Linked DNA regions of Saccharomyces cerevisiae S288C. Changing the gene in region 1 together with any one later gene gives a genetic interaction. Each region holds a gene or a part of one and is shown on either strand. Other genes may lie near its edges.

The links. A genetic interaction does not mean that the proteins touch.
Region 2: mutations in EXO5 (region 1) and OPT2 impair growth when combined (synthetic growth defect), as found in Saccharomyces cerevisiae (one large-scale study listed by BioGRID).

The regions. Positions count from the first base shown.
Region 1 is NC_001134.8:563,965-568,042, forward strand, and holds EXO5 (Exo5p), read left to right. Parts: upstream 1-1,758; coding exon 1,759-3,516; downstream 3,517-4,078. Other genes in the region: TOS1 (Tos1p), read right to left, coding at 1-606; YSY6 (Ysy6p), read left to right, coding at 1,267-1,464; Arf family GTPase ARL1, read right to left, coding at 3,911-4,078. UniProt on the Saccharomyces cerevisiae protein: Single strand DNA specific 5' exonuclease involved in mitochondrial DNA replication and recombination. Releases dinucleotides as main products of catalysis.
Region 2 is NC_001148.4:923,782-928,876, forward strand, and holds OPT2 (Opt2p), read right to left. Parts: upstream 3,157-5,095; coding exon 523-3,156; downstream 1-522. Other genes in the region: YPR195C (uncharacterized protein), read right to left, coding at 4,184-4,513. UniProt on the Saccharomyces cerevisiae protein: Transports tetra- and pentapeptides. Does not transport glutathione.

The sequences.
Region 1 (4,078 bases):
GGTTTTAGAGGAAGAGATGGAAGACTGGCTTTCACTCGTTTCAACTGCTTGAGCACTGCTGGACAAAACAGTAGAGTCTTTAGTGTAAGAAGAAGGAACAGCAGGACCGACAACGGTATTGGTGGAATCGGCTGTGACTGTTTGACCATTACTGTCGACGTAAACAGTGGAAGTAACTTGAACATATTCAACAGCAACATCCCTCTTGTGCTGATGCTTATGTCTGGAGACAACAGCTTCACCTTCCTTACAGGACTCGATTGATTGTTTCTCTGATCTTTTCTTCAAAGCATTAGATTCACCATTTGGGTAGTAAACACCAAATTGTAGTAACTCGATCGGACCCCTGAAATGAACAGATAGTTCCTCGTTGAAGGGAGCCAAGCTACCAGAAGCAGTGAAATCAGCTTGGGTACAAGCACAAGAAGATTCATCCATATTGGTGACATCTTGGTAGGTAGCAGATAAACCGACGTTAGAGTAAATGATGGCATCGGTTTGAGCACAATAGTAATTACCGCCAGAGTAAGTACAATCAGCGTTCACGAGTGACACAACTGAAGAAAACAAACCGACTAATGCGGTCATGGAAAGCTTTTGTAACATTTTTTTCGTTCAAATTCCGTTAGGTTTTAGATATTTTATGGGGTGTAAATGGAAAAACGAAAAGGTGAGAAAAAGACGTTCTATTGAAGGAGTGACTAGAAGTTGGATAAGTTAGGTTGGTTTGAGTTTTGATTCTGGAGTCTTCTTGCGAGAAAAGAAATAATTATAATATAAAAAAAAATTGAATGGAGATAAGAAGTTTAACTAGCAAAGTTCGAGAGATATAAAAAGTAGAGATGCGAAAATAAAATTAAAACAAATCTGAAAATAATGGAAGTGAAACAAGGCTAAGCAAGAAAATTTTCTATATTGCCAAGACAGGAACGTTTGTGATGAATCACATCTGCATTCGTGGTATATTTAAATGAAAATCCCAAGTTTCGAATTTTCACGTTTGCTGTACGACGAAAAAGCGTGGAAAAATAAACAAAACCAGCACTAAATCGCCAACGAAAAAGGAAAGTCGCCAACGCGAAAAGAAAAGAAAAAGCGAGGCGCAGATCTCGTGGTATGTGATATCGTGTCTAATGACTTGACGTGGCTTTTTTTCTTGTCGCCATCTGCGCTTACTTGCGTTATATCAAATATAATTTCAGCACAGCATTACATGCAGAAATAGCAGGGTGCAGAGGTCGAAGTAGATAGAGGACAACACCTGCGATGGCCGTACAGACACCAAGACAAAGACTGGCTAATGCCAAGTTTAACAAGAATAACGAAAAGTATAGAAAATACGGTAAGAAGAAGGAGGGCAAAACTGAGAAAACCGCACCTGTGATATCCAAAACTTGGTTGGGTATTCTTCTGTTTCTTCTCGTAGGTGGTGGTGTTTTGCAACTAATCAGCTATATCCTATGAAGCAGTGGCAAATTGCATATATAAGTGTACAGTGGAAGCAAGTACGTAAATAAATAAGCGATTTCGAATAATAATAACAACAAGCATAAGGCAGTATTACCCGCGTTGTCATTTATGGATGCGAAAAAAGATGAAGTAATTCAAGTGCTATTGTGATTTACCATGCCAATCAAACGTGCAACAAAGATGAGTATGAGGGGGGACCCAGGCATAGTACACAGAAAAGCTTTGTAGACTGTCTTTGTTTTCTTAATTTTTCAAGTAGGCTTTCTGCTTTTCTTCTGTACTTATCGTATGCTGGGCCGGGCACTAATCAACAAGTATGGATTTTTAATTCATCCTAGGAGATTTGTACATTTAAACGATAAGTCCCTTGATGGAACATTTATACTACCTTCGAAGAAAAATCATATGTATGATGTTCCAACTAATGATCCAAGCGGTATCCTGAATGCCTCGGATATCGATAGAATCAATAATTTGCCATTTTTCGATAACACCAGTCCGACAAAAGAGACAAATACTAAGGAAGGAGCATTGTTGAGCGAAAAATTGGCCAGCGTTAAAGAATTATTTGGAGAAGACCCTGAAAATCCTTCGTTTATCAATTACAGATTCCCCAGAGGTTTAGAGAATCCCTATTTTGACATTCAAGTAAATCAGCTAAAGAAAAAACGATTATCCGTCACACAATTATGCACTACGCAGAATTGGTGCGAGTTAAGGAATTTTTACGACTTTTATTCTCAAAATTTGTCTAACCAACTACTGAACTTAAAATTTCAGGTGCAGAAAGGTAAAAAGATTCATAAATCACTAGAGGACGAAACGCATCCTGAATTAAATCAGTATAAAAGCTTTACCCACAATTTCCTTGCACTGACAAAATTATCTATGGATATTGATAATGATATGGATGCCCTGCTAGATAACTGGTTCAACTCTATCAATAGATTGGTCTCTTTATTCACCAAAGGTGACGGTCATGCAAGAGAAATAGTTTGTCATGGCTTCATTAACTTAGAAGATGGCAAACTGGTGGAGCATTTGCTGAACAGTGATAGCAAGACAAAGGAAAATGTGATTATATCAGGTGTTATTGACCACTTAACTCTTAGAAATAGGCACAATCATCAAGTACAGAAAGGTGCAGCTCATCTTGATACGGAATATCAGAGCTGGGGTAATATCCTCACTAATTTACTATCAAATCTAAAAGAACTGAAGTCGAATAACGAGATTGTTATCTCTGATATCAAAACTAGGTCAGTACCAAAAATACCATCTATTGAGTCCGTTATAGAATCCTCTAAATTACAGACAATGTATTATAAGTTTTTTTTTTCCCACCTTAGTCAAGACATGACACAAACCTACCATAGCTTTTTAATCAATGCCCAGAGAAGAGGACTCGACGTTGATGCGCCCATAAATCCTACCAAGATTTTAACATTCATACTAACAAACCCACTCTTCGCTAATGATGTGAAGAACCTCCTGTACGGACTACCGATAAATCATTCTGCTTTCGATAACGACGCCAAAGGCTCTAATACATTTGATATGACCGCGTTCAATGATTTGCTGGATAGAGGTCCCACATCTTTTAACGTTCCGATTGAGCAAGACGAAGATAGTTCGGAGTCAACAAAATGTGTATCTTTGCGAGATTATGGACATTTTTATACGAAATGGAAGACACCTCTAACTTTGAAATACTTTGCGGCAAGGTTATCACAGATCTATTTTATTGTGGGTAATCTCGTTTCGAATGATTTAATGATAGAATATTATTACCATAACGATAATTTCCACAATATCATCTTCCCATATGATCCCTTGAAACTGGGAACCCATGCCCATGATTCTGCAATGGTTTGGTTTGGTGGCAGAGATATGCATCCAATTGAGCCTACTCAAAAAAACTTCAACACATACTGTAAGTTTTGTGACTACAGACACGTTTGTTCTTGGAAAAATAAAAATGAATTGAAACTTATTGATCTAGGGAAAGAATTAAAAAAAATTATTCTTGAATCAAGTATGAAGTAGTGTAGGTATTGTAACATTATTTATTCTAGTTATTAAAAGGGTGTTGTTTCGTGAATACATTGAAGTCCTTTATTGGGTTATTAAGCACATAAATCTGTTTCTGCTTTCGGACGTCCTGTTTCAATAAATCGGAATTGAAATGACAATTTAATTTAAATGTATATATGCAACTTTCATTAAGAGGTCATTAGGTATTTTAATGCGGCCTTCTCATTCATCGGAACGATGTAATTGCCTTTAGAATTAAAACCCAAAGAGAAACATGTATACACTTACTAACTCTATTATGTTTGGATAGAGCTCCTTGATAATTCAGTTACAAAACAAATTATATGTATATTCAATGCCATTTAAAAAGTATGCATCTACACTTTTTTTTTGCAAATCTTTATCGCTATAACTGTTCCTCTTTTATAACATCAATCAACCAATCTAAACCTTCGGTAATACCTTCGCCTTTAATTGCACTGGATGCTACGATAGACCAACTTCTGTCCTTCAATTCTACAAGATTCAGTTCTTTGGAGACTTCACTGGCACTTAATGCACCCGGTTGGTCTTG
Region 2 (5,095 bases), on another chromosome or scaffold:
AAACGGTGATACTGTATTTGAATATGCTTCAACCGGAGTAATTATCCAGTAGTGCAACGCATCTCATTCCAACTTGAAATATACGTTTACAAAACTATTTACCACTTGTATTTCTGCAATAATACCAAAATTCATGCAAAATAAACACCATCATTACTTGTAGTTGGAAGCAAAAAATATTCTTGATTGATTTTCAATTGCCAGGCTCCTTATCACTTCGTCGATGAGCCAAAAAAAAATGTAGTTCCTATTCTGGTATCAAAGCATTTTTCTTTATTGATAACATCCGCATACACAGAGAAAAGGCGAGAAGCATGAAAAGTGTCAAAAATATTGAACTAGAGTGTACTGTTATAGTTTTGGCAGGTATGAAGACAAAATGATGGCTTTTTACATATCAAAGTAACTCTGTACTATAGATAGAAGAATAAAAACTAAATACATGCAGGTGACTGATAGAAAAGACAAGTGCAGGGGAGAAAAAAAAATAAAGAAATGATAGCGTTCTAAGAAAAGTTCTAGTCATGGATAGTGTCCTGGAGCATAGCCGAAATAGCCATTTGCTGTATCAGTTATGTTCTTTAGAGGATAGCCAACGCCATCGGCACCAGCATACGGAACTGTATTGCCCCACCAATTAAAAGCTGTGTCTTTATATTGGACAGCAAAGAAAATGATAATAGCTGATAAAACCAAGCCCGTTGAAAAGCCTGCCGATAAAACATAATTATATTTCTCCCACAGATTTAAATGGTGTCTTTTCATGTAGTACTGGGAAATGTAACTAACAATCATACCAGAAGTGTAATACATCAGGTTATATGGAGGGCTCATATTAAGCATTCCACCTACAAATAACATTGGGTCAAAATATCTGGGATAAAACTTACCCCAGCGCTTCCAAACACCAAAAAATATGCCAATGCATGCGCCTATCAACCAACACCATTTAAATATTGGATAAATGTAATTGAAAATTCTTTTTGGCCCAATTGCACCCCAGACAACGGAAGCATTATAGTAGGTCACAGCATCAGGACAGGTGAATTTTGCGTTTTGATGAGGTGTGCAAAAGTCTTTGATATTGGAGATTTGCCAATTCAGAACACCTAGATTGACAAATATCTGAATGAAAACTATAACACATTGTCCCCTGAATAGCGCCATTGGCGGAATCTTACAATAATGCGCTATTTTTAAGTTAGAAACGTAATTATCTGCTTGGCCGTCGATGTTATAACCAAAAGCCTTCAAAATCATTATGGCGATTGGATTACCTGGTAAAGCGTACCCCATCACCATTTCAATTAGTAGATTCAAACCAAACGAATAACCAGTGGTTGCTTGAAGGATAGTAGTTGGAATCAAGAAAACAAAATTAAATCCTAAACAAACAAAAAGACCCCAAACTGGTGTATTTGTTGGGTAGTGCTCTACAACAGCTATTCCAACAACAAGTGAACCTATCAATATGGCAAAATACCACCAATCTGGAACTTCTTTATAGTTTTTCATGGCATTAGAATGTGGGTCATCATAATCGTCGAGCGCCCTGTAATCGCTTTTGAACATTGTGACCCAAGATTTAAGTTTTCTCATGGCCCACAAATTCAAAGCCCAATCTTTGAAAGCATTGAACAATAACTTTGAGTGTACAATAAACGACCATGTAATCATCAGAGGATATGCGCAAATGAAAGCACCATATGATACCAAATTTCCAGCACTATAGTATGGTGGCGAGTAGCTTTGATATTTTTTCACATCTAGCTTATTGTCACTGTCTAATACCTCAGTAACTTTAAAGGAATGGCCAGTATTAGTATACAAAGAATTTGTGAATATTGGCAGGTATTGGCAACTCATATAATTACTATAGTATACTGCAATAACAATTAAAGCTGCTAATATGCAACCAAGATATTGTGTTAAGTATGACCAAAATGGGTAAACTAAAGGAGAATTAAACGAAATAACATTCCAGTCAAAAGATGAGATAGGATTAATCCCAAGACCAGTGACTCCTCCCGTGATGTTTGCGAGATTAATGTTACTTGGCTTGATCCAGGTCATCCAATTGAAAGTGTTTAGAATATTAATAATGTAAGTGGGAAACCAGTTATAGATGAACATGATAAAAAAAGTCAAGAAAAAGAATTTATACCTGCTCATTCCAGATTCATGCTTTTCTTTACCCAATAGTGCCTTGTTGATAGCAATAGTTGGCATGACTGTTGGCCATAGTGCACGGGCTGGATAAACAACGAATTTTCTAAGGATGCCAGCAAATCCAAATCCAATAAATTGTACGGATAACGAAAGTAAAAATTGGTAGCCAAACGAGAAAGCAGAATGGTAAAAGAGTTTTTGCGTTAGAATATTGTAATGAGTATAGAACGCGCCTTGACAAATTGCATATAACAAGGTTGAAAACATTTGCTCTTTTTGGGTCCATGGTTTATCGATATTGATACCATACTTTCTGCCCCTGATGGTTATAGTCCAACAGGGGATAGTTTTAGCCCAAGCCTTACCACAGATATATAAAAACATTTGGATAATTGGAGTATTCAGTGAAATTGAAACCACCCTGTGTGAAAAAAACTCATTAAATCCTGAACCGATGACAGACCAAATTATTGCCAGAAAATATGCTCGGAATGTCTCCACTGGAATGGTGGGATCATCTTCTGGATCAACAACAGCTCTAACCTCTTGGTAAGGCGAATGAAATTTAATAGCAGAAGCAAATGCTCTAATGTCAAAGCTATCATATTCATCTATCCCCTCTTTTGAATCCAAGTCCTCCAAGTCAACCAATCTCTTCCACTCCTCATATTGATCGTGTGGAATGTTCTCATCATCCTTGAAATAGATGATAGAGTCTTTTAGTATTTTGAAGGAATCCTCAAGTGTCAATTCAGGCATTTTTTTGAGGATATACGCAACGTCTTCCGGAATATCATAAAGAGTGCGATTTTCATAACCCAGCTTCTTCATAAAGTGCAGTATCTGTTCATCCGTATACCACTGAGAAAAGTCTGATGAATGATTTGAAAGCCTCTCAGAATACTCAGCACCCTCGGCGTAATCAACAGTACCTTTTGTGGATACCTTCTCATCAATTATAACTTTATCTTTGACTGTTTCACTCATAATTTCTAATAATTCAACAGCAATATTGCGTATAACAAACCCTACTAGTTGTAGAATAAGCTAATATGTTCGTTTCTGCTATTAAAAAAATGCCGCCGTTGTTTAGACGTTCAATGTATGATTGTAAGTGTTTCAAATATTATTTTTTGGGATGTTTCGATAGGAATGAATATAAGTAACAACTGACTTGAGACATGACTTAAGTTTACACAGGATAGTGTTCCATTCCCATTTATAAATTTTTTTGAAGCGAGAAGAAACCTAGCAAGTTGATATCAATATTTTTTTTAATGTTACTTATCTTCATTGCTAATAATTCGTGAAATGATTGAAAATTTCCAATCCATGAACATTCAGAAGTAAGATAACAGCGTCCAATTGTAAAAGAACGCTATTATTATTGTAGATAAGAGAATAAACTTAAATAATCGAAGGTGTTACGAATCTTCATAAAACCCAATGGGCTGATATTGACAACCGCAATGGCGATTCACGTGTTCGGTAACCACAACAGGGGCCAAGAGGAAAACAAACTACATCAATTTTTGCAAAAGGTTAACAACGAAATGTGGGATTATTGAAAATTATAACGAAGAAACTACGTCGGACAGCAACCCCCCGATTTTTGTCGGTTGCTTTTACTGACACCATGATGTGAACCAAATTTTCTTTTGGTATTCCTCGCATAGTGTTGACTTCTTTTACCATGATAAAAATAATGAGATAAGAAGTGTTGCAGTAATATTATGTGTCACACCAGCGTGGCTGCCATATTTGAGACGGATTCGTCCGGTGGATGTGATGGATCCGTTTAATGCTGATCTCTCCTGCATTTTTTGTGAAAAATCAGATATCAATTATTGGTCTATCTGCTTTTGCCTGTTTGTTTTTTTTTCATTATAGAGTTCCTCAGTGAGTGGGATTGATGATGCGCACGGCACAATTGAAGCATTTGCTTATCAAAACATAAATATCTCCGTACCCAAATAGGAAAAACGCGTTAATGCAAAGTTGACACGTTCAGTTACTATTTCCTGAAATAATAATACAGCCCACAAAAACCCACCAATGACGCTTTTGTTGCTGAATCAGACGTTAAGTGCTGCTGCCTCCTCTGTTCTGCGCCGCCGGTTGTCTCATTACCTTTTCTGCCTATGATGATTGTATTGCAAGGCCCGAGTGGTTGCGTATGCCACGTACGAAAAGTTGTTACCGTGCCGTCACATCCCCTGCAAAGAATGTGGTACGGCACACTCCTGCTAGCTTGAGGCCCTATTCCAATGGCAATTGAGATGCTGCTTTCTCCTCTTACAATGTATGTTGATGCTTCCACTAAAAGAGGGATGAGAGAATTCATTTGACTGTGCAGTCAAATCTGTGATCTTTCTATTCTTGCTTATCTATATTCTGCCCTATTTATTTTTAGTAAAGTTTCGTATTTACATTTTTCATCATAGATCGCACCAGCGCGTGGGGCTCTTTCATTATCATCTCAACTAAATGACATACATTGCAAATACGTGAAATGAGCTGACTCAAAAAGAAATATTCTGAACTGTGAATACCAAACAAACTTAAAATAGCTGAAATTCACGTGTTGAATTACCGCATCGGTTAAGGAAAGGGAAAGTTTCTTCTCTAAATAAGGAGGAGCCTTTGCACATATGTAGATTATGTAAATACTATACTCTTTTTTTGCTTTTAGTACTTGGTATCCTACTAAATCTTTATTTTCTTTCGTTAGTGAAAAATATGAATTGAAGGATCAGTTCCTTCAAAAAGGTAAGAAAAGAAATGGACCATTCGATTAATGCTGGCACCAACATTCCACAGCACGGAATACAATTTTTGGTGTCCTTTACTTCAAGATTTGTTACTACGTGCGGCTTAGAATAACTTCATTATTTATCTAAACGACCCATAATTTTCGATGCTAAAG